Linked DNA regions of Schizosaccharomyces pombe. The gene in region 1 interacts genetically with each later gene. Each region holds a gene or a part of one and is shown in the gene's direction. Other genes may lie near its edges. The genes, in order: atp12, SPOM_SPAC25B8.11 and trm82.

Region 1 (7,594 bases):
GGACTTTCCCGAAGGAGGGTTGCTGCCGCAAGTTCGGACGAAGAACGTCCAGAGATGAGGAGCGTCTCTCATTCCAAAAGTCATCTTGAGGGATACGATGATGATCATAAAATCGCTTTTGATCCAAAGGATTTGGAACAAGGCGCGGAAAGGGAAAAGCAACCCAGGCTTACACTGATGGAGGAGGTATTGTTATTGGGTCTAAAAGACAAGCAAGGTTATCTTTCTTTTTGGAATGACAGCATTTCTTATTCTCTTCGGGGATGTATTCTAATGGAGCTCGCATTTCGTGGAAAGTTGCGTATGCAAAAAGACGTTAATCGTAAACGCTTTCCGTTAGCGGATCGTGTAGTGGAGTTGGTTGATGAAAAACTTACAGGTGAGGTTCTTTTAGACGAAGCTATTAAAATGATACATACTAGCGAACTCATGTCTGTAACCTCTTGGATTGATTTGATGAGTGGTGAAACGTGGAATGTGATGAAGATTGGATATCAATTAAGACAAGTACGCGAACGGTTGGCAAAGGGCCTTGTTGACAAAGGGATTTTAAGAAATGAGAAGAAGAATTTCTTACTTTTCGACATGCCAACTCATCCCATTGCCGATACCTCCATTAAAGATTCCATTAAAAAAAGAGTGGTCTCTGTTCTTACTTCACGAGTAATTGAAATTGATAATTCACCTTCTTTCCCAGAATATTTGTCTTTTCGTTGCCTTCGCACTGTTGCCCTTGCTTGTTCCTCATACGCTGCTAATGTTCTTGAAAACGCTCTTGACAATTTAAACTATGAAGATCGTGAAAAAGCATTTTCTCGCGTAGACGAGCTTCTCTGTGACTTTTCGCAATGGCCTTTTGATCTTCATGCTTCTTCGTCAGTTGGCGCTAACTTGCCTGAGCTAATTTCCGAAGAACTTTCCTCTGTGAAGGAAGAGCAACTACTTTTCATTGAGGTAGTCGCTGCTGTTCTTCAAGTTTTCACTCATTTAGATTCTTTACTTTGATAGCCAAGCATATCACTCGTTGGTGTTGTTTGAGTTATGTTATTTCCAACTCAGACTAATGAACAAACGTATACCGACTTCTATATCGCTAATGTCGGCTTAATTTGTTTGTTTTTAATTGGAGTATTATTTTAAAAGAAGTCAATTCAATCAAATTGTTCGTTGTTGTAAGAATAGTACTTTGAACAATCGGTGCTTCATTATCTAGTTGAATTTTCATTAAATTGGTGGTACCATTTCCACATATACTCTCTCCAGTTGAACACTTTATCTCGATATGGAGGCAATCCCATTTCGATATTGTCTGCTAAAAAAGATTTGTTCAGAATATCCCGGGTCAGCTTTCATTCTTTTCAGTTGCGGACATCGTTAGCTATTTTCTTCTCGTTTTAATGATTTACATACGTACATATAAGTCAGTCTTTCTTTTCACAAAGCTTTAGTTATTAAACTAACGAAAAATGACAATTGTGTAATTACTATACAGTTATCTTTTAAACCATTTTAAACTTGGGTTCTTCCACAAGCTTTACTTAAATGAACATATGATAAATTAATATAGCAGGTGTTTTCTTATGATCATTGCTATCAACTTTACTAAGACGAACATAAGCTGAAATACAGCGATTTTTAACCAAGTTCATATAAATCATCTATTCCTGCCATTAATGCCAACAACCCCATTAATTGTCTATTGCTGTAAGCGTAAAGTACTATGGAGACTGATCAGTCAAAATTAATCAGAAGCATTTAAATAATACACAATTTATAAGGGAATCTAAAGTACTCTTAAAACACCGGAAGGTGTAAGATTGACAAACAACGCTTGCTCACGTCTCGATAGCTCAGCTCAGGTATTGTATAAGGAAATATAAGGATGGTACTAAATATGTTTACGTAGTGCTATGTGCGCATTCAATTTATTACCGCGACGTATCGAGTGTCAAAGAACTACAGATAGTACTAGTACTTTTGCCATTCGCTTACAAAAAGCGCATATCCACATAAAACTAGCATTTTCAAATTCATCTGTAAAGTCAAATAATTCCAACCCAAAAGGACGGTTAAATTTTCCTTACTTTAATTTATTCTTTTTTTTTGAATTTGGTAAAGCAATTCTCGTACGTTCATTTCATTTTTTTTTCATAGTTTCCAACAATGTCTGAACGAAAGGTACTTAACAAGTATATCCCGCCCGATTATGATCCTTCCATTCGTCCTCCTAAGAAAAAGAAAAAGTTTCAAGGACCAAATGGTGGGAAATTGACTGTTCGTTTGATGACTCCATTTTCAATGCGCTGTCATACTTGTGGAGAGTATATATATAAAGGAAAAAAGTTTAACGCTAGGAAGGAGAAAACCGGCGAAAAATATTTTTCAATTGATATATTGAGGTTTTATATTCGCTGCACTAGGTGTGCTGCTGAAATAACATTTATAACCGATCCAAAACATGCAGATTATGCAGCAGAGAGTGGAGCTTCCAGGAATTATGAGCCGTGGCATGAAAAAAGATTACAAGAATATGAAGAAAATGAGTTAGCTGAACGCAATGACATTCCTGAGGAGGACGAAATGGAAAAATTAGAACAAAAAACATTAGACACTAAACGACAAATGCAAATTAGTGATGCACTCGACGAACTACGTGAAAAGAGCGCTCGAAGGTCTCGAGTTAACATTGATGATGCAATCGCTCTCTTAAAGGAAGATGCATATGGATCAATTGAAGAAGAGGAGTCCAAAAAGCGGAAATTTGAGGAAGAAGAAATTGATCGTGAAGCTAAATCGTTGTTTTCGTCTCAGGATGGTGAAATTATAAGAAGATTGAATGCAGAAACAACGGTTGAAAAAGAATTACCCAAACCTATAGATTTGGTTTCTGAGAAGCTGGCCACTTCCAATATACCGAATTTTCAGCCTCCAAAATATGCAAAAAGGAAAATGGAGAAGAAAAAGGTTTTGGTATAACGTCTATAAATGGCTAAATTTTTTAATTACTTGCATTTTTTATAGCTAAGCTATTAAAAATGTACATGTTCTTTTGTACCAGCGCAAGGTTTTTATTGTAATAATATTTAATGAGTTTTTGATGGATTTTCATAACGCGAGTTGATAGTCAATATCCTGTTCTAATTTTTATTATTCGATTAGTAAATGTAGTTTGTTATGTAGAATAATACCGTAGCATTTATAGAAAGGTTTTATTTTGTTTGTATCTATTCTTCAACTTTAAGTTTTTAACAGCACATGTTAATTGATTTTTTTTAAGGTTCCTTCTAATTTTCCGAGTATCTAATTGTAATTTATCAATTTACATTTACGGTTTGTCAAAAAGTAGTCTTAATCGTAGCTAAATTCAAGGCGGCTAACGTAAACAACGGTTTAGGAACTATGATAGGAACGTCTATTAATTTATTTTAAAAGAGTTTTTTCTTGCTTAATTAAAAACTACTTTTAGAAAAAAATATTAAAACTTATTCTCATCATGCCTGTGACAAAATATTGTTAGACTCATCTTACATAGTAACCAATATTTTGGAGAACACCAACTAAAAACGTATATCATAATAATTAACTCTTAAACAATAATTAAAAATTAAATTTTGGCAGTTTGAAGTACGAAAGATTTTTTAGTGTCTCAGATAGACACCTTGAATACCCTTTTTTTTCTATTTTTGTAAGATGCTTCGATCTTTACAATTTTACAGATTATCCAGCAAAAACTTGCTGTCATTTAAAACGTGCTATTCGTTTTACTCTACAAAAGCTTCCTCTCCTTTGCCGCAACCATCATTCAGGAGATTTTGGAAGAATACAGCTACCAAAATCCAAAATGGAGAAGTCTTGATTCAATTAGATGGACGAAATTTAAAATCACCTTCTGGGAAGATTGTTAAGGTACCTAAAGAAATGGAGTTACTAGCACACTTGATTGCCCTAGAATGGGATCGATTACCATCAACCTCTGTTCGACAACACAATCTCCCAATTACTTCCCTAGTTTCGAGAGCTATTGACATATCACAATTCAAAAAAGAAGAAAAGGAACTACTTTCTACTCAATTAATTCGTTTCCTTGACACCGACACAATTCTAATTTACTCCCCCGAAACAGAATATGAAGGGAAATTGTTGGAGGAGCAAAAGGAAAATTGGTGGCCACTGAAAGAAACCTTTGAAAACAAACTTGGTGTGCAATTAAGCTATTTGGATGGTGATGCTGGTATTATTGCCCATAAACAAACGCAGGAAACACACGAACGCATAAGAAACTGGCTCAGCTCGCTGAACTCTTGGCAACTAGCAGCTTTTGAAAGATCTGTTAGTTGCTGCAAGAGCTTCATAGTTTCTTTCATGATTTTAAAAGGATATTTGAACTCTGAAAAAGCTGCCGCTTTGACGAACTTAGAACTTCAGTACCAAACAAATCGATGGGGCTCTTTGGAAGATGGTATGTATAAACTCTCTATTATTCTAATGTTAAATACTTACAACTGCAGCTCACGAAATAGACAATGAGGATCTTAAGAATAAGTTGGCCAGCTCGGCAATACTCTCACGGTGCATAGAAGACATGCATGACAAAAGTAATGAACATGCCCACTAACGGCTATACGCAAACTCAAAAAATTACAAAATTTTTGGAATAGCTCCCTCTGGGTGAACTCAATTAAGAGAACCCTACAACTGTTTACTTAAAACACTGCACATTGCCAAATTAGAATTATAGAGTAATGTTGCCGTCGTTGAACAGAGAATTCTAAATTAGTTTCCTCATGTCGAATATGCTGAGCTATTATGTCAGTTATCCTTCAGACCAAATTGTTTTGACAAGGTACCCAAAATTAATTCATGAATCAATGTAAATGAATAAATTAAGATAATCCTGCATTTTGTAATTTATCTTTTAGGTTAGATATCTCTTCTTCCTTTTGAGCCAATAGAGTCTTTGTCTCTTGTAATTCTTTCTTAAGAGGTTCTACATAATATTTAAGTTCCAACTGTACGAATGTGAGAAGCTCCCGAATCTTTTCTAAACGTGAAAGATGAATGCAATTTGTATCGTCGTGGTAAAAAGAGTCATTATTGTCAGTGCCTTGAGTTTTATGCTGCGAAGAGTCGAATACGATAGGCTTGTAGGATGCAGATAGTTCATTTAATGAAGACATAGGTGGTTTGTCATTATCAGGAACTTGGAATTTCTGGTTAGTGTTATTCAAAGTAGTTATACTATTGGGTTGTGAAGGTAATCCGATATAAGCAGGTGAATCATTTTTTGTTGGGGTTCCAGGTTCTGTTTCGGAAAGTAAAATCGGATGCCTTAAAGGAGATGTTATGTATCCAGAATTTGGGGAAGTTTTTTTAGGACTCAATTTGTTAGCATCAATGGACATAAGAGAGATGCCTCGTCTTTTTGGAGATAGAGAGTTGACGCTAGAGTAGGATATATCTTGATTGTTCCCCGTAGACGATTGTTCTTCTCCTTCGAACCACTGCTCAAAGCAGGTGCTCATAGGAGTGCTGATGACTTGCTTAACTTGGTCTGATACTTTGCTTTCATGACCAGTATCCTCGTTTAGTAGTTTTTTATGCAAGAATTCATCGTAAGATGGTATGAAGCTGTCAATAGATAAATCTATTGAGCCATTAGATTCATTATTAAGCTCGCAAAGCGCTTCGTCTAATTTAGAGATTCGCGATGCTTTCTGAAGCAAGATTTCTCGTTGGTCGTCTATTACTTTTGTGGGCGTAGAGGAACGCAACGGATACTCCATTTCCATATCTTCATCATCTGTATTTTATTTTATTAACTTATTAATCTTCCATTAAAAACACACGGCATTACATACCAACTGAAATTGTAAAGTCATTACCCAATTGCTCAGCAAATATTTTTGTATTTTTGTTAGCAGAATCCATTTATATAATAAAGAAAAAAGGTTGAACAAGTGTCATAAGGATTTGACAAAAAACACAAAAGTACCAACTAGGAAAATCTGCAATTCTTAGTGTATTTAAAAACTTCCTAAAGTAGGTCAACGTGATTATCTTGAAACAGTGAAAAGTTCACTTCGCTTTTCACAACTTTAGCTTGTTTATTCGAGTAAAGATTCAATTTGTTTATAAGGTGCGATTAGTGGAACTAAGCAACTCTCTTTATGTCGATAAGTCGTGTACAACTTTTATATACTTATGCATATTACTATATGTTATTGACATTAAAAATAATGGTCATATAATGTACTGTTAATTTTTTATTAATTTCACTTATAGTCATCTATCAAAGTTAGAATTACATAAATTAGAATAATCCAAAAAGACATATTCAATATCACCAAGTTGAGGAAATTTGAATAATATGCCTTCAGTCCAGGCTAACAACATACAACCTCTATCCAGTGCAAATATTTTGGATGCAGTATGAAGTGCAAATAGTCGTAGGTTAAAATCTAAATTCATGAGGAGTTTGTATCAATGCTTGAGAGAGTGCGCATATGAGACTCTTTTAAGTATTCATTCTATCAGTAAAACACATTTAATCAATACCATTCACTACATTGCTTTTAAAGATGTATTTTTGGTATTCATAGTTACAACAAATATCAAATTTCAGTAGTTGTTAAAATCATATTTTAAGAGCTACATTAATTCATATTTCCTAGTGGTGTTCAACAAGCTTCTGTAGCTCAGTCGGTGGTAGCATCCCTCTCATATTATGACACAGGGGAAGGTCGTGAGTTCGAGCCTCACCAGGAGCATTTTTTATTAATTTTTTCCTAAAAAACAATAATACATTTCAATTCCAACATTTATTAGATATAATTAAATAGTTCAGTACTAGTCCGGACTTGATTAGAATGTGTATGCATTTTAATAAAATCATGTCTATTTATTTAACAAATTAGCATATCTTAATTTATTATTATTGCAGCGCAAGGCGAACAGTACTACATAATTAAAGATATTTTACGTGTATAAGTATGAATGAAAATGCTTTTATTCAATATATTATCGTATAACATAAAGGAAAAAGAAAATAGAATGACGATAGAATTTCTGAATAAAAAGCTGAAAATTAAATAAACCAAAACCCCAAACGAAATAATAAATTGAAACAGTTGAACCTCTCATACCTTGAGTTCTTTAACGCTAGCACTATGTTCAGAATCCGATTCATAGCGATATCTATTTGCGACCCATCTGGATTTGGGAATTACAATCGTACAGATAATGGCGAAGATGGAAACACCACCCATAATGACAACGGCATAATTGAAAGAAGGACCTGTAACGGGATAAGTATAAGGAGAAACATTAACAACAAGAGCAAACAAGTTGTAAACCAATGTAATGACCAAACAAGGCTTACTTAACCAACCCAAAGACCAACGGCCTTTTGGGAATTTATCGCGTGTAATAAAGAGGCGGCAAAACGCCAATACAGCATAAGCAGCAAAACTTGGTGCACCAGCGGCGGAAACAAGGGAGGTAAAAGCAACTGCACTAGGAAGAATGGTGCAAAGTAAAAGAGCTGAAACAATGTAGATAACAGTGATAGCATTCTTTGGTTGACCGGTTTTACTTA
Region 2 (8,545 bases), 2.7 Mb from region 1:
TTCCTAGTGCTGACTAACTAACATTCGAAACCTCTTGTATATAAAACAGCTCATAAAAATTGTATAAAAGAGATAGATTTAGACCATAAAAAAAGACTGTTCTTGAGGCGAATATGTTTAGCAAAGCCACTTGTGTTTCGAATGAGATAGTGCCATACTATGTACCCTCTTAGCAATGAGTTAATGTCGGCAATTTACTACACTACATTATGGTGCACCAAGTTATACTATCAAGGACAAGATCCATTGATTGATATAATTTCCGAATATATTCGCAGGTATCGGATTTAAGAAAGTTATTAAATCGAATTTATTGAATTCATTGTAACTTATAATAAACGCGTCGCCGACAACAACACCTAAATTTATATTCATATCTGATTTTACACTCTTTATTTGAAAATTGAGAATCGATAATTGTAATGATTGGGAGAACATTTAAAACTGATATTGCTGATTACGAAACCGCAAGACCCGATTATCCACCACAAATAACGGAATGGTTAAATGATGAATTCAGTGTTAATGAGACTTCTACTATTTTAGAGCTTGGCGCAGGTAGTGGTAAGCTTACGCCAAGAATTATAGCGTCTCAACCTAAGGAAATTATCGCTGTCGATACATACGTAGAGATGCTTGATGTTTTAAAAAAGAAATTCCCAAATGTTGATTGTCGTGTGGGTTCAGCTATGGCTATTCCCCTCGAGGATGAAAGCGTTGATTTGGTTGCTTGTGGGCAATGCTTCCACTGGTTTGCAAATGAAGAGGCATTGAAGGAGATTTACCGCGTCTTGAAGCCTAACGGGAAACTTGCTCTTATTTGGAACATTCGTGATAACAGTGTACCATGGGTTGAAAAGTGTAGTCAGCTTTTAGAAAAATGTCGGGGAGGTCCACTTAACATGTTTGAAAAGGCAGCTGAACTTTTTCCTGGCTATGGATTTACTGAACTGAAGCAATCCTTATTCACTTCTGCGAAAAAATATTCTATCGAAGATTTGCACAGATTAATGAATTCCTTTTCTTCTATTAATAGACTACCAGTAGAAGAGAAGGAGAAAATGCATGCAGAACTCGATGAAATTATCAAAACAATCCCTCGCGCGCAAAATACTGACCAAGTAGACTTCAATATTCTAACAGTGGCTTATAGCTCTGAAAAGGTGCCCATCAACTGATCAGCCTTTTTGACTTTACAGAGCACTGTTCATTGTGGTGAGTAGTGGTAATACACTCTACGTGGTATAGTTTCATTGTAGCGATTCTTTTGCACCTTTACCTTTGTTGACAAGGAATTATGAGCTTTATGAATGATATTTAATAAGATTGTTTCACGTTATTTCATCAATACTTTTTTGGGAGATACATATCATTGATGACACTCTCAATCGGCTTTGCTTAGATTGTTTTTTCTTTTTTTTTACCCTCTTTCTATAATTAACTACATCATTAAGACTTCTCCTTTTTTGTCTCACTAGCCTAACAGATGGATTGAGAAAATAATATAGAAACGAATTTTTTTTAGCCAGTTTCAATTTTTAGTCGTAATCCCACCATTACAAGGAAAGGTAGTAAATGCAAAAACTTTGAATTCAGCATTTTTGTTGAGAGTTGTTTGTCTGCCTGTGATGGTCAGCCAATTTCCTATTAAATCAAATCAAAGTTTCATTTAATGCAAACATAAAAGGTAATAATTTCAAGAATTTGCTATCTCCGAGGCGAACTCATCAACCAATTGTCCATTTGAATCCAGAATAGTCTTAGTGGTATATTCACTACAATACAACACAATACCGCAGCGTTTAAGCTCAAATTATCAACCGGTCGTATCATTGTTTTTAACCACCTCTACTCTAGTGAACAACAATCGTTAAGTATAAAAAGATGGCTGAACAAATTGACTTGAAAACATTTAAAACTGATGTTGCTGACTATGAGGCTGCGAGGCCTGAATATCCTATAGGAATAACCGACTGGATTACTGATGAATTCTTAATTGATGAGACTTCCATCATTTTAGAGCTGGGTGCTGGAACTGGCAAGTTTACACCAAGGATCATCGCGTCTCATCCTAAGGAAATTATTGCTGTTGACGTATACCCCGAGATGCTCGATGTATTGAGAAAGAAATTCCCAAATGTTGATTGTCGTGCAGGCTCAGCTATGGCTATTCCTCTTGAGGATGAAAGTGTTGATTTGGTTCTTTGTGCACAATGCTTCCACTGGTTTGCAAATGAAGAGGCAATGAAGGAGATTTACCGCGTTTTAAAGCCTAATGGGAAATTGGGTCTTGTTTGGAACACTCGCGATGACACTGTGCCTTGGATTGAAAAGGTTAGTAAAATTTTGGGGAGGTACCGAAAGGACGCACCTAGCTTTGTTAGTTGGAAATGGGCCGAACTATTTCCTGGTCATGGATTTGGTAAACTTAGGTACTGTGCATTTCCTTTCTCGAGGTGTCTTACAGTCGAGGAATTACATACTTTAATGAATTCGTTCTCCTTTATTTATAAGCTTCCGGAAGAAGAGAAGGAGAAAGTGCATGCTGAACTTGATGAAATTGCTAAAACTATTCCCCGTGTCCAAAACACCGACCAAATTAAGCTTTGTTACCAAACGATGGCTTTTAGTAGCGAGAAAGAGCCTGCCAAGTGATGAATTTTTTTCAAGCGATACTCTTATGCGTAGAAGTAATACACTGTGAGTGATGAAACCTTCGACGCGGCGCAAACATTTTGCACTTGCCATCTATGATGAGGAACATAGGCTTTATGGATACTTTTATGCGTATGTTATATTCTCATTTTTTTTCTTCTTTCTTTTGTTTTGTTGTTTGTTACGAGGAATTCTTATGCTGTCAATTTTATCGCAGCTAACCTCTTTGTTAAGAATTTTGTTTCGCGTATTGAAAGAATATTTTCCAACAATCACTACTATTGCTAGATTCACCTTTATACGTTTCATCCACACTTTATTCAGTGAAGATTAGCAAAAATGTTTAAACGAGAACTCAATTCTTAACATAGCTTCGCTTATCATATGCAGCTAATATATAAATTTTTGAACGAAAATTATCATCTTATATGATACAAGTGATCGCAAAATTAGGGCTCGTGAGTATGACTAAAATTGCGATTATCACTTCCACTAAAAAGTTTAAGCATAAATAATTTTATTCTTTTTTTTTCCTAAACAATTGTACGAAAGAAATGGAAAACATTTACTTCTTGGTCTCTAAACTTCTTTAGCTTCACGTATTTGTTTGTACTTTTTTGAATAATGAGTTGCGTAGTGTTGCGGCGCTCTACTTAGTACATCATTATAGAAGTTCCATATCAAAGATAAACTTGTACTATATTTGGACTTAGCCTTATCCATCATTGTACTATTCTGCGTTTAAACAGTCTCAATTGTCAGTTTTGAAATTGAATTTTATTTGCTTATAAGTCGCATTTAATTAGTCGTATGTTCTTGCAATTATCATCGAGTTATAGAAGTTAAGTATTCTCATTCGCATTTTGGCATTTATTTGCTATCCCTTGGTATTCACCCGGTACCATCTTTTGATATCTTCTTAACCATATGTGTGTTTTTGAGTGGGTTGTTATACGTTAGTTTGCTCGAAGGTTTCATTTGGCTTTAAGCATTCATTTGCTATTATTCCCATTTTACACAAAATCAGGTAGAGGCCATATAAACCCCTTATAAGCTTGATTGAAGAAAAGAAAAAGAGACCGATATAATTGGCCTGTTTCCTATTATTATTAATGTCTAATTTGATTTTAACGCCTTCAAACAATGGCACAGAACGGCCTTATCGCTCAAGGAAAACTAGACCTTGTGACAATTGTCGATTGCGGAAAAGCAGGTGTGTGGTAGAGTCAATTGGAAATCCCTGCTTATTATGCACGCAGTTGAAAATTCCATGCACCTACCATCTTCCTCCTATAAAGCGCAACAAACAAAAAAAGCAACAGGATTCTGTTTCAGATGACACACCATCAGAAGCAACAACAACGACTAACGACGATCGTGATCCAAAGTACAATGCCTTAGGCAATAATTTGGATGCTGTAAGAGGAAAAGTGATTTCACCTACGCAAGGGTCAGATGCTCGTGGACCTGATGGTCGTCAAGTTCCATTAAATCTAGCAGGCATTACTGAAATGTATCATACTTCAGATGATAAATTTGACAAACTTGGACTTGACGATTCTTTGAACTATCCTTATGTGTTGGGGCCAACCTGTGATTCAGACATCGATCTTATTCGTGAGTATTTTTCGTTTGAAAACGGTGTTTGCTCTTTCGATAATATGACTGTTAAGTACGTTTCTACTAGCTCCAAATCACCTGTAATGTATATCCTGGATCCTGCGTATGAGAATGACCGTCATAGTGATTTTTCTCGATATGATCATGCTTTGCACGATCTATTATCAACATACATTGATGAGGCAACTGGCCGCACTTTAGTTAATTTGTACTTTAGTCATGTGCATCCTTCTTATCCTATTCTTCATGGACCTAGGTTTTTATTATCATATAAAAACGGTTCTCGAAATGTACCGTCTATTTTACTTGCCGCACTTTATTCCGTAGCTCTTACCTACTGGCCTTCTGATTCTCGATCGTTTGGAGCGCCACCACTAGATCAACGGAAAATGTGGACCATTGTCGAGGAAGGGTTGAATTTTCATTTTACACAACCACGACTTAGCACGATACAAGCTGCTCTCTTGTATTTAATTAGTCGTCCTTTACATAATATGTACAGTCTTTCCAGTATCCTTTCCCGTACGACTGTCCTTTCGCAGTTGTTGGGTTTTAATCATGATTGCACGGAATGGAAGATACCCAATGAAGAGAAAACCATCCGTAAACGCATTTGGTGGGCTATTTTTATTGCTGATAAATGGTATTCAATGTATTTTGGGTTAGCTACGAACATTCATGAAGATGATTTTGTCGTCCCAAAAATAGAATCTGATGAATCATTGCCTCTGGAAATCACATCGTCACATTCCTTTAAAACATTTCTTAAAATGATAGAGCTTAGTTCTCTTTTACAGGATATATTACAAGACTTATTTACTGTCCGTGCATTAACCCGTCATTCAAAAAACAATCGTTCTATTAGTTACCAGATCATTGGCTTTTTTACCAGATTAAACAGTATCCGTCCTGTAGAATTTACAGAGCCTGCGCTCGGAGTTGGTAAGTTTTTTTTTCCTCTTTACACTTTACTAATTGTTTTATTCAGCCTCATTAAAAATCCAGTTTGATGCTGTTGAAATATTGTTGTGGAAGACGGCATTGAGGTTCAACTTACCCGATTTTCAGTCTGCAGATGACTTATTCGTTTGCGTAGAAAAATCTGTTTCGAATTTTGTACAAATCACAGCCAACTCTTCGGGAGACTTTTTCTGGCCTTACGCAGGATTCCATTTTTCAACACTTGTTTCGCTTTTAATTCGCTTGCATTTAGATTTCCATACAAACAATACATACGGAGCTAGAGCTTTCTCACTTTTGGATGCGTTTGTGCGGCACTGTATCACGTTGCATGAGGCAGGTTTTGACTTTGTTGAAATGGCAATTAGGCGATCGTCTTCTTTGTTAAAGGAGCTGGGCAAGGACCATCCGCATTTATTGGCTCTTCGAGACGATATATTTAATTCTAATGATTCGCGAGGCGAAGAAGCTTATAATCACGTACCAGAGCAGCTGTTTGATCCATGGAATCCTCATTCATGGACGTTTCCCAAGTCCGATTAAAGAAATTTGTCTCTCACACACTAACTACATTGGCTAAATACTTAGGTTTACTTCTTCAAAGAGATCTGTAATTAATGTACATCTGAATTGGTGAAAATGCTAAAGATCACTTTGTTGTCTGTCATTCACAAACATATATATACATACAAAATATTGAACTATGCTATTGGATGTTAAACGTTTCTTCTTTATCTTGTGATTATTTTATTTTATTTTAAAGTTTATAGTGCTGGTCAAAGAATGCCTGGCATCTCTTATGACATTTTGAATAATAATACATTTATAATTTTGAGTCATGATAGAACCGAAACTTAATGGACTTTTGCTGCATGGTTTATTTAAGTAGTCTATAACTTTATACACGAAGCTTACGATACGAAGTTTTTAGATTGACTAAAGTTATATTCATTTGCTAACGATAGGCATCAATGACAAAACAATATAATATACATCAAACAACGTCCATAAATGCTATTTAACATACCGAGTAAATGAAATAATGACAAAAGCAAGCCTCTAACAAAACAAATAAAGAAAAAGAAAGAGTCAATTAATACAAATAATGAGAATAAAACACAAGTATCGCCGCTGTTGCTTCAACAACGACGTACGAGTTGGATGTATTGTTCACAGTGTAGAGGATCGAATCTAGGGTCTATAAAACAAACAGTTATGAAAGGGGAAAGGAATTAACGGGTATATATATGTGACATCTCATTCCAAGTAACCCCTTATAATAAAGAAGCAAACATTAAAGGAAAGAGACAGAATTGTAACTAATAGGGAGAAAAAATAAAAAACATACTAAATAAAGATTTATATAGATGAGTGTAAACGAATGCAATACGTCCGGAAATACAGCACTCCACAAAATGTCAAAAAATGGAAAAACGTCAAAGTGATTGTTGAGGACGCAAATTCATGTAAAGAAGACAATTATCCCGTAAAAATTTAAAAAGTGTAGGGAGGAGGAGTGTAGTCCTCGGGAATGTTGAAGATACGCTCAAGAACCTCACCTACAGCACCTTCCTCGTTACCAACACGAGAAACAGCTTTGGCCTTCTCAATAGCAATGGGCATACCATTCTTGATGGCAACAGACCAACCAGCAATGGCAAACATAGACAAGTCGTTTTGACCATCACCAAAGGAGATGACATTTTCATTCTTAACTTCAGGGAGGATGTTAGAGGTGATGTACTGAAGAGCAGTACCCTTGTTGCTGTTGGAAGGAATCAACTCGATACAGAACTCCAAAGCTTGAGTAGTAGCAAATTTCTCTCTGGGGAATTTACCAAGAATGTCACGGACGACGTCAAGCTTATCGGGATCTTCACAGACAGCCATCTTGATAACCTTGATTTCGCCAGACTTGACCTTCTCAATGGCTTCTTCACAAGGCATAGAGAAATCGACCTTTTCACCAATTTCAGCCAAACGCTTGACATTCTTCATGTCCTCACGACCAGGAGTCAAAGCGTAGACGTAGTGCTCATCATAAACAACGTTGGCGATGTTGGGGTTACCCTTGGTGGCCTCAACAACCTCCATAACGACCTCAGGCTTCAAGTGATCGGCATAAACGATCTTTCCCTTGTTGTACAAGACACAACCGTTAACGTGGGCGGCAGGGAAGGCATCCAAATCCAAGGGGATACGAATGAGATCGACGGCAGAGCGTTGCTTGCCGGTAGCCAAAACAATGGGGAAATTGGGGTATTTTTCACGGATGTACTTCATAGCACGATAAGTGCGGAAGTGGAAACGATGATGCTTATCCAAAAGTGTACCATCGACATCGGAAATGACCATTTGAAGTGTGTCAAGGGTGGGCAAATTGTTAGTCTTGTCAACAGCGCTCATCTTTAAAAATGTTTATTTAAAAAAAAAAAAAAAAAGAAAAAGAAAAAGACAAATAAATCTACGTGGGGTTTATTGGGGGGAAAAAAGGGCAAGAAAAGAAAAATATATATCTAATAAAGTAAAAAGGCGAAAAAAATCAACAAACCGTTTTTGTTTTTGTTTTTGCTTTTTACCAATCCAATTCGATTTCCGGTATATATACCAAGTAAAAAATTCCAATCAAAGTTTTGTTAGACGTTTAACAAACACCAACAAACAATACACTATACTGATCCTACAAATCCACACACTGTGTTTTGTACAGGAAAGAATGTATACACAAGGGACGCCTGTCGAATTTATATTCTCGGCCAAGAGCCATCCTTGACAAGAGCCGAAGATTTTCCGACATCACTGACGTCAGTTAAAGTTTTCCCGAAGTACTCGCGTTGATATCTGCAGATGAAAAATTTTTCCGAGATGTACCCTTGTACCCTGACATCACCGCCTACTTGAGCAGACGCAGTTAGGAAAGGAAGGAGAGAGAAGCAGCAGCGCATCACTGAAGGCAAGATCAAACAAGGTGTTGTATCGCAGTAGGGTTAAATAGCTGATAGCGTAGTCTAACAAGCAAGCCACAATGCAAACACTAGCATTTAAATTCTCTTTGTGTTAAGGAAGGAATGTGCTGGTATGTTGAAGTTGGTCCAACATTCCGAATGTTAGTAACAACGAGAAACAAGGTTTTTTGACGTGTTTGTTTACATGAGCAAAAAATCATGCAGCTTTAATCAGTACACACTTTAGTGGTCGGCTATCGCGTAGCAACGTCACGATAGTGATTCAAATTCCGAATAGCGATAGCGAAAACGCTCGTGCGTAACAAAAGAAGATTTTCCAACTTACCGAAACGCTGGCCAACCGT
Region 3 (8,089 bases), on another chromosome or scaffold:
TTGGTGTTGTAATACAAATAAGCGCTAGTTAAAGCTCAGAATCTGTATCAATCGCAAGAACGAAAATGACCGCCAAATGCAAATTATTCGAGTTTAACGTTACATAAACGCGCAAATCCACGAACAGTATGATCTTTTCAATACAAAGAATGCAGAGATTTAAGGTCCTGTTGGGTTAATAGAAAACTGTTAGCAAAGTATGTATTTAGGCCAGTAAACTGCGATATTTTTTTTACTGAAATACGTTAGCATTCACAACTGGGCTTACAGTTTCTCCCCTAATATATCAACGATTGAAATCTTTTTAAGATAATCTAACCTTTTATTTAGTCGAATAAAAATTTCAATTTTCTCTTTAAGCTAAATTTGGTTGAAACTGCTTTTTTAGGTCGCTTGGATAATTGCTTCCTTTTCTCTTTCGCTTTAAACGACTTTGAATCTAGATGAAAAATGGTTTACAACTTTACATTTGTGATGATTACATCGTAAATATTTACATTGTGCCTATACCCAATTTTTTTTCTTCGTTTCTTTAGCCACAAGCGTTAGTTGAAAGTATTGTTTACACAGGAAGGGTTGAATCAGAAACATTGTATGTATGATAGCGTTATATTAGTAGACAACACTTGTAGGCAAACCTATCCCGAAAAATTTTATTTTTAAATATATACATATGCTAATTTCCAACAATAAGCAGTCTACTTTCTTTTCCGACGATGTTTTTTTCTTTCACCAACATCACCTATTATGTTTACAGGTAAAGTAGGTTCATCCGTTGTATGGTTTTTTGATGATCTCTTTTTGATGCTTAAAGGGTTAGGCCCTTTAGGACCCTTGCGTTTTTTATTGGCTTTTGGAGCAGAATCCTCTGTTCCCGCTAAATCCGTACTTTCCTTGGTATCTTGATCATCGATAGCCAGTTCATTCGCTGAACGCTTTTTTCCGGATAATAACAACTTTTCCTCTTTTGACATGCCCATCTGAACGGATTCTTTGTTGTGCTTTTCTAATAACGTAGCTCGTGAAGCTGGTTCTAGTATCACAACTGACCTTTTCATATATATAAGTGGAACACCTGGGACCGAACGAAGAGCTTGCCTAAGCTCGGGGTCTTGGGTAGCAACAACATAGCGGTGCTTGTTCCGACCATTAATGTTGACTACACTCTGAATACATTCTGAAGGAGAGAGTGCTTCATCAATATGACCACACCTCCTTCGCTCAAAAGACTTTGCGATACGAATTTCTTGCTTCAATTCATCGGATTTACTGTACAATTGCCGAATACAACATTGAGTAATCACTATAGTCAGTTAGTAAATCCGTTAGTTATAATAATTTACAAGGAGAACATAAGGAAAGAAAATAATAAACCAGACCCGGATGAAAAGATACTATGTTGAATAATTAAACTTTCCGTTCTGTTTCATATTCCGGGGGTTCGCCCTTTTTTCCAGTAAAAGAAAACACTTATAAACAAAACTTACTAGGTTTTATAGCTCCTTGAACAGTCCTAGCTAATGCAGCTTGTATATCAATCTTTTGTTGAGATAAATCTTTTAGGAAATCTGCATCCACTAAAAATCATGTTAGTTTAATAACATCACCAAAAAGAAAATGCTTATTGTTTGCAAATTAGAACTTGGGTAAGGATGCATCTTTACAAGCATCATTTTCTGTACCACATACCGAGTACTTGATATGGTTCACGAAATCCAAATAAAAGCTGATACGTATGCATCAGCTTTCTGTAATTCTTTGCCCTTTTTTGCCTCATATTTACGCCCTTTTCTGTGCGTCACACAGCCTAAGACTTAATATGCTTTAGATCACTTGTTTTTTTAAGAATTTTTTTTTTCGCTCAAAAACGAAAAGTCTTTTGTTACTATTAGAAATATTAAAAAAATAAATTCAATCGTATTAAAAGAAGTATCCAGGAACCCTAATATTGCTGAAATCCTCTTATTAGGAAATTTCCAACTAGTTTGTACTTTCCAAGTTCACCCACGTACTAAAATTTTGGGCGCTTTAACTATTTAACTTAAGTGAGATACTTGGCTTCGAACTGAGTGTATACTTCTTTTATTTCTCTATTTAGATAAATTTGTAAGGAAACGGTATTAAGCAGAAAGAGGATTCAGTCTATTATTTACCCTTATCATACTTTTTCTTCATTTCTACTGCGTAAATAATTTTAAAGCTTTGCTTTTTATTATTTGAAAGATTTGTCATTATTACTTTCTTTCTTCTAAAGCTTCTTTTTCTTCTTTTTATAAAATTGTAAATATATTCGGATCCAAAAATTAGAGGTTTATTTCTGAAGTGTTTGTTTTGTTGCTTCTATTTTCTTAAGAATCAATCAATAAAAACATGAGTGAACAGCGAGTTTTTAAGCACCCTTGTCAATTTTTAACATGGAATTCTAAACACAATTACATCGTGTGCTGTTCAGGTCCATATCTATTGGGGTTCTCATGCTCTACAGGGGAAAAAATTTTTGAACATTGTTATAGAGACAATATAAATGAAAAACATAGAGAGGCAGCTGCCTATGGAGAAGCGATTCGTCAAGTCGCATTTTCTAAAGACTATTCTCGTATGGCAACAGTTAGTGAAGACAAATGTTTGCGCCTTTGGGATAGCACTCAGCCTGATAAAATTGAACTTCTTTATCAAAAAAACATACCAAAGCGATGTGCTGACTTGTGCTTTGCGGGCTCAAACGAAATTGTTTTTGGTGATAAGTTTGGTGATGTCTATTGTGTAGACGAAAATTGGTTTACTACTTCTGAAGTTACCGAAGAAAAAAAGTCAAATGTGGTTGAAGGAAAACAAGAACCTGTTAATAATGACACTTTAAAGGATTCGAAATTGCAAAAACTCGAACCCATTATGGGGCATGTTTCGATCTTAACTCAATTAATAGTTGCTCAAAATCCACAAAATTCTAAAGAAGAAATAATCATTACTTCAGATAAAGACGAGCATATTCGTATTTCCCGATTTCCCAATGCATTTGTCATTGAAGGGTTTTGCTTAGGTCATGAAGAGTAAGTTTTCATTTGGTTTTAGTTGATCAATTTTTTTTTTTTTTTTTTAAATAACACTAACGCCTTTTCCTAGTTTTGTATCTAGGATGTCCTTATATGACAATCGTACTCTAATATCTGGCGGTGGAGATAATCACGTTTTCGTATGGGATTTAGAGAATTTCAAATGTTTGGATGCATTCGATCTACGATCTGCCTTTTCCACTTATCTCTCATTAAATCAACCAATGGTGGTTTCAGTTATTCTTCCTATTTTTAAGCGCCAGCTTGTTGCTTTTGCGTGTGAAGGAATGGCGGGTCTTATCTTCGCGAAGGTGACACCTGAAAAGAGACTGTTGTTTCATTCTGCTTTGAAGCTGTCAGGGCCTGTTCTTGACGCTGTTTTGCTTGACACGGATACTGATCAAATTCTCATTTCTTTGGACTCTAGTTTTACATTTGGTGCATGTTTTGAATGCGTGAAATTTGATGAAGGGAATGCGGCTGTTCTTACGAAACCCGATGTAATAAAGCGTATAGAATCTGATGGTTTAATATCAACCGAAAAGCCGTTCTGCCCGCTCGCTCAAATTCACACATTACGCAAGAACCACTCTAAATTCATTCGCAGTGTTGAAACCGGTACATCTTCGCCATCCGTTGAATCTAAAGATAATTAAAGCTCATTTTAGGGAGACCGGCTCAAAAAAAATAATTGGGAAAAGTGGGAGCATCAGTAAATATGGAAAATAGATATGAATAAAAATGATTGTGACATTAAAGTATAATAGGGAGAGCATTTAATTTCTTTGGAGAAACCCAGAATTTTGAAGTATAAATACAGTCAGCGATTAATAATTATGCGAATAAACGCAACTTGTATCTACTGCATAAGTGCAACTGCTATTCAGTTGTGCAACGTCAGCAATTTGAAGAAGTAAAATTAATCGTTTATTCAATTCCTTCCATTTACATGCTACGACAATACTTTACATAATACTTGCAACGGCAAATTGTTTTTAGAAGGCCTAAAGAACACGAGATACATCCATTAGTGCTATCTAACAAAAAAAGCTTAGTCGAAGAGACCGAAACCCATGTCCTCATCGGATTCCTCTTCCTCTTCAGCAGCAGCCTCGGCAGCGGGTGCCTCAGCTTCACCACCAGCAGCAGCAGCAGGAGCAGCGGCGACTACGAAAGCAGAGGGATCAGCAAGGAAAGCCTTAGTCTAAAATAAAGTTAGTGAACTGAGTACAAAAATAATTTAATGATTCAAAGAGTTTAATTGTATACAAGCGTTCAGCAAAAAATTAGAGTGTTTAAACTTTGCGCTCATGAAAATTTAGCGAGTTAAAATAATCCTCATCAAAACGCATTGCAAAACAATTGTTTCATATATAATGCTCCTTCAACGAAATCTGCCGATGGAGAAGCATCGAAAAGATTAAGGAGGTTCAAAAATATATATTTTTTCATTGAACCTCAAAGAAAAGGCATTATTTATAACAAAAGGTTTAAAACTCCTTGAAGTATTTGATATTATAGGACATACCTGTTCAGTACCCTCGAAGGTGTACTCAGTGGCCAAAGAGACAGCGACCAAGTTCTTGTAAGCGTTGACAACAGAGTGCATAACGGATAAGATAGTAGGGTAGTTAGCGCCCAAGGAAATGGCAGTGATAATACTGGCAGCAGACAAGAGGTGACCGATAAGATCCTCCTCAGAGACGTCAAGAATCTCAGGACTAAAGACGTTTCCTTGGTCATAGATCGTGAGAACATCCATACCATAGGTGAAGGGAGAGATGTTTAACATGTTAAGCAAAGTAGCCTCGGAAGGACCAACTTTAGCATCCTTGGAGACCAAATGGACATCGGAAGTAATTTCAATGGTACCACGAGTAATCTTGGTGGGGATACCAAGAGCTTGGAAGAAAGAGGTCTTACCGGGTTCCATACCAGTGTTACCGGCAGGGACAAAGACATCCAAGGGAGCAATGGCGTTAGGACGAGCAGGAGCAGCAATAACATTAGCAATAATGGTCTCACGGACTTCCTTCAAATCAGCGTTGGTGAAGACGAAACCAACGTTACCACGAACAACAGGCAAAAGACGCTCAAGCTCAGGCATATCGTTGATGATACCACGCATAGCACGACGAATCATGGTGTTCTTACCCATGATAAGTTCAGCAGTTCCACGCAACTGCTTACGGACAGTATGCATTTGTTGAGAAGACACATTGTCGATGTTAACAACAAAGAGAGAGTTGTATTTTTCGAAGAGAGAGCGGAGCTTCTCGAAGTATTGAGCCTTGCTTTCCTTGGAAATTGCCATCTTTTTGCTGGTTTGGTGGTTTGTGAAGAAAATAAATTCTTACCCAAATGTTTCTACTCACATATTGTCGCCGTGACTGTTTTTTGGACTTGTCAATCGAGTTGTGGAGAGGCTTATGGTACCAAACCGTAGTGCCTTATCAAAGAATTGCGAGAGACATAGTGACACAATGCGGAAGCTCGTTCATTTACTTTTATCGCCAATTTCTAAGATATATGGTATAACGGTAAAACAATATCGTTGTAAACGTAGATACAAATGCAGTTAATATAAGAATAAAATAATGCAATTCACAAAAGTCAGTTGGAGAGAAAAGAAGAAGAGAAATGTGTATGTTTAGTTTTTAGACTTACTACTCTCATCACAAAAGTGCATGTGGGACTAATCTTGAGTGCAACGTACCATATACAGCTATTGAAATGAGACCGTAAAATTCGTGGCATCGAGCAGTACTTTTATCCTTCAATATAAAACGAACAAATCTCAAATATTGCTGAAGCGTTTACCATTCGAGTCAAAGGAAAAATTCAGCCTCCATGCGATAGTGATTAGTGAATTCACAAATTCAACAGATGTGTTTTAAGTAAAATACTACGAAAATGATTGACAATGAGTTTATATTGGAATAGAAAAAAATCCGATACTGAAAAAACAAGACCTATGGATATTTTTTTAGTTTCTGATTTCATTGTTTATTATCGAAGAAACATGATTGCCAACTTGATGAATGACTACCGAACTCTTTCAATTCGGGTGTCATGTCTAAACATTAACAAAAATTGGAATTTGAATCGAGCGCTTTATTTATTGAACATCAAAAACACTTGAGTAGATTATCTATTCCTATTCGTACGTAACCTTATATAGATGCGAGACTACCCACAAAGTTCTGAACTTGTTCAAAAATGATTAAGAAAGTTAAGGATTTTGCTCAATAATTGTCCTAAGTCATCTAGCTTTAATTTGCAACGAAAGACTCTGATAAAAACCGACCAATTCTTTCTTCTTCAAGGGCTTTCGTTCAATGACCTACAGATAAATACAGCCCAAATCACCTTACCGCTTGATACATTAAGGTTCAATCACCCGTACATTTGCCAGCCTACAAAATTTCCTTATTTAATTACCCTTTACTACAAATCCCAACGACCGTAGTAGCAATCTTTAAAGATAATAATTTCTTTGAATACGTTATAGTTACATAGCAACTTATCTGAAAGAAGCCGTTATATTTAATTAATTAAACGTATTCTAGAGCACGCTGAACTTTGCATTTTATTGTTTAACGAAAAGAATACGTGTACGTTGTGGTTTGCTATTGAATTAACCAAACGGAAGAAAATCCAACTCACAAACATTGGGATAGTGACGCGGCAAATATAATTACGAGATTCTCTAAAAAGCGTAACCGATCTGATACATTAGTAAACCCAGACAAAGCGAATTTACCAACTTGATAGTACCACTAACTGGCATTGAAATGAGTGAAACTGGAATTATCCCAAAGAGTACAGATTACACGGATTGGCCTGCTGATGTTTGTAAATACTCTCAAGTCTTTGAGGATGTTTTAGTCGTTGGGACATATATGTTAGATGAATCGACAAAATTGCGACATGGAAAATTGGTGCTTTATGATACCAAAGAAGATGTACTGTATGTTAGATCAAAAAATTCTTGAAAAAGTACTAATTTAGATTAGAAAAAGAGTGTTTGACATGCACTGCGATGCAATTTTAGATTTTAAATGGTAAGTTGCCAAAACGGTCAACGAGCAGAAGTTCATCAAAAGAATTAAAAGATTGGCGTAAAATGATGAGGGTTTTTCGCAACCATGTGATTTAGTCAATAATACAGTATCCTGTCGTAAATCTACAGTTCGTATCAAGCCACGGTTTCCCCTTTTGACTATACGCTTTCTTGAGCTCATGCTATTCACACCTTTGTTTTGAAGGCTAGTCAAGAAGGTTTATTTCGGTGTTCAAAAGAAAGCGTTTCTAATCAGTGGTGCAAGTAAATAATCCGTAGTCGATTTTTTAAACGCGGAAAAAGGGAGTAATTATACCCATATTATTCCACAACGCTCTCCTTTTACCTTTTCTTCGTTTTCTCTAGTATTTTCACTCCATCATTGAACCTCGCCTTTCTCCTGATTCTCAGTTGTTGCTCGACGCTTCATGGATTATACCCCGTGGTTTTCTTTTCTCGCGACTTGATACTAATTCATCTTATAGGTCTCCTCATGATGCTTCTGTATTAGCTGTAGCTCATTCCACCGGCCACGTTTCTTTTTATCGCCATCAATTTCGAGCAGAACTTATGTTTTTACGTGGTATCAAGGTGGCCGATTCTAGCGTCCTTATGCTGTCTTTGGATTTCTCGGACAGCGGAAAGGAGCTAGCGGTCTCTATGTCAAACGGAAGTGTTCTTATCATCGATATCGACTCTGGTGTCATTAAAAACAAATGGAAAGAGCACGATTACGAAGCTTGGACGTGTCATTATTCTCGTCAAGACAATAACCTCCTTTATTCGGGAGGTGACGATGCTGCTCTTGTTTGCTATGATCAAAGAATCCCCAATTCATGTATTTGGAGGGACATTCAAGTTCATCATTCTGGTGTTGTTTCCATCCTCTCTCGAGCCCCCTTTGGTCCTTATATTGCTACTGGCGAGTATGGAGATTTTATGCATACGTTGGATACCCGAAATATTGGAAAGC

Evidence for each region.
Region 2: mutations in atp12 (region 1) and SPOM_SPAC25B8.11 together harm fitness more than expected from each alone (negative genetic interaction), as found in Schizosaccharomyces pombe (one large-scale study listed by BioGRID).
Region 3: mutations in atp12 (region 1) and trm82 together harm fitness less than expected from each alone (positive genetic interaction), as found in Schizosaccharomyces pombe (one large-scale study listed by BioGRID).

Annotation. Positions count from the first base shown.
Region 1 is NC_003424.3:1,484,152-1,491,745, reverse strand, and holds atp12 (F1-ATPase chaperone Atp12), read left to right. Parts: upstream 1-3,555; 5' UTR 3,556-3,690; coding exon 3,691-4,459; exon of another isoform or gene 4,460-4,508; coding exon 4,509-4,615; 3' UTR 4,616-4,883; downstream 4,884-7,594. Other genes in the region: gpp74 (golgi phosphoprotein 3), read left to right, coding at 1-1,005; cwf16 (splicing factor), read left to right, coding at 2,164-2,976; SPOM_SPAC9.11 (uncharacterized protein), read right to left, coding at 4,884-5,800, 5,859-5,928; plasma membrane thiamine/proton high affinity transmembrane transporter Thi9, read right to left, coding at 7,137-7,594. UniProt on the Schizosaccharomyces pombe protein: Essential for the assembly of the mitochondrial F1-F0 complex.
Region 2 is NC_003424.3:4,170,292-4,178,836, forward strand, and holds SPOM_SPAC25B8.11 (transcription factor), read left to right. Parts: upstream 1-3,383; 5' UTR 3,384-3,767; coding exon 3,768-5,217; intron 5,218-5,263; coding exon 5,264-5,778; 3' UTR 5,779-6,087; downstream 6,088-8,545. Other genes in the region: SPOM_SPAC25B8.09 (trans-aconitate 3-methyltransferase), read left to right, coding at 423-1,178; SPOM_SPAC25B8.10 (trans-aconitate 3-methyltransferase), read left to right, coding at 1,885-2,655; SPOM_SPAC25B8.12C (nucleotide-sugar phosphatase), read right to left, coding at 6,730-7,641.
Region 3 is NC_003421.2:1,976,525-1,984,613, forward strand, and holds trm82 (tRNA (guanine-N7-)-methyltransferase subunit Trm82), read left to right. Parts: upstream 1-1,996; 5' UTR 1,997-2,370; coding exon 2,371-3,050; intron 3,051-3,123; coding exon 3,124-3,709; 3' UTR 3,710-3,841; downstream 3,842-8,089. Other genes in the region: rRNA processing protein Utp23, read right to left, coding at 699-1,303, 1,488-1,577, 1,690-1,777; rpp0 (60S ribosomal protein uL10), read right to left, coding at 4,105-4,257, 4,582-5,367; SPOM_SPCC18.20 (uncharacterized protein), read left to right, coding at 5,977-6,195; dph7 (WD repeat-containing protein), read left to right, coding at 6,848-7,023, 7,070-7,117, 7,602-8,089.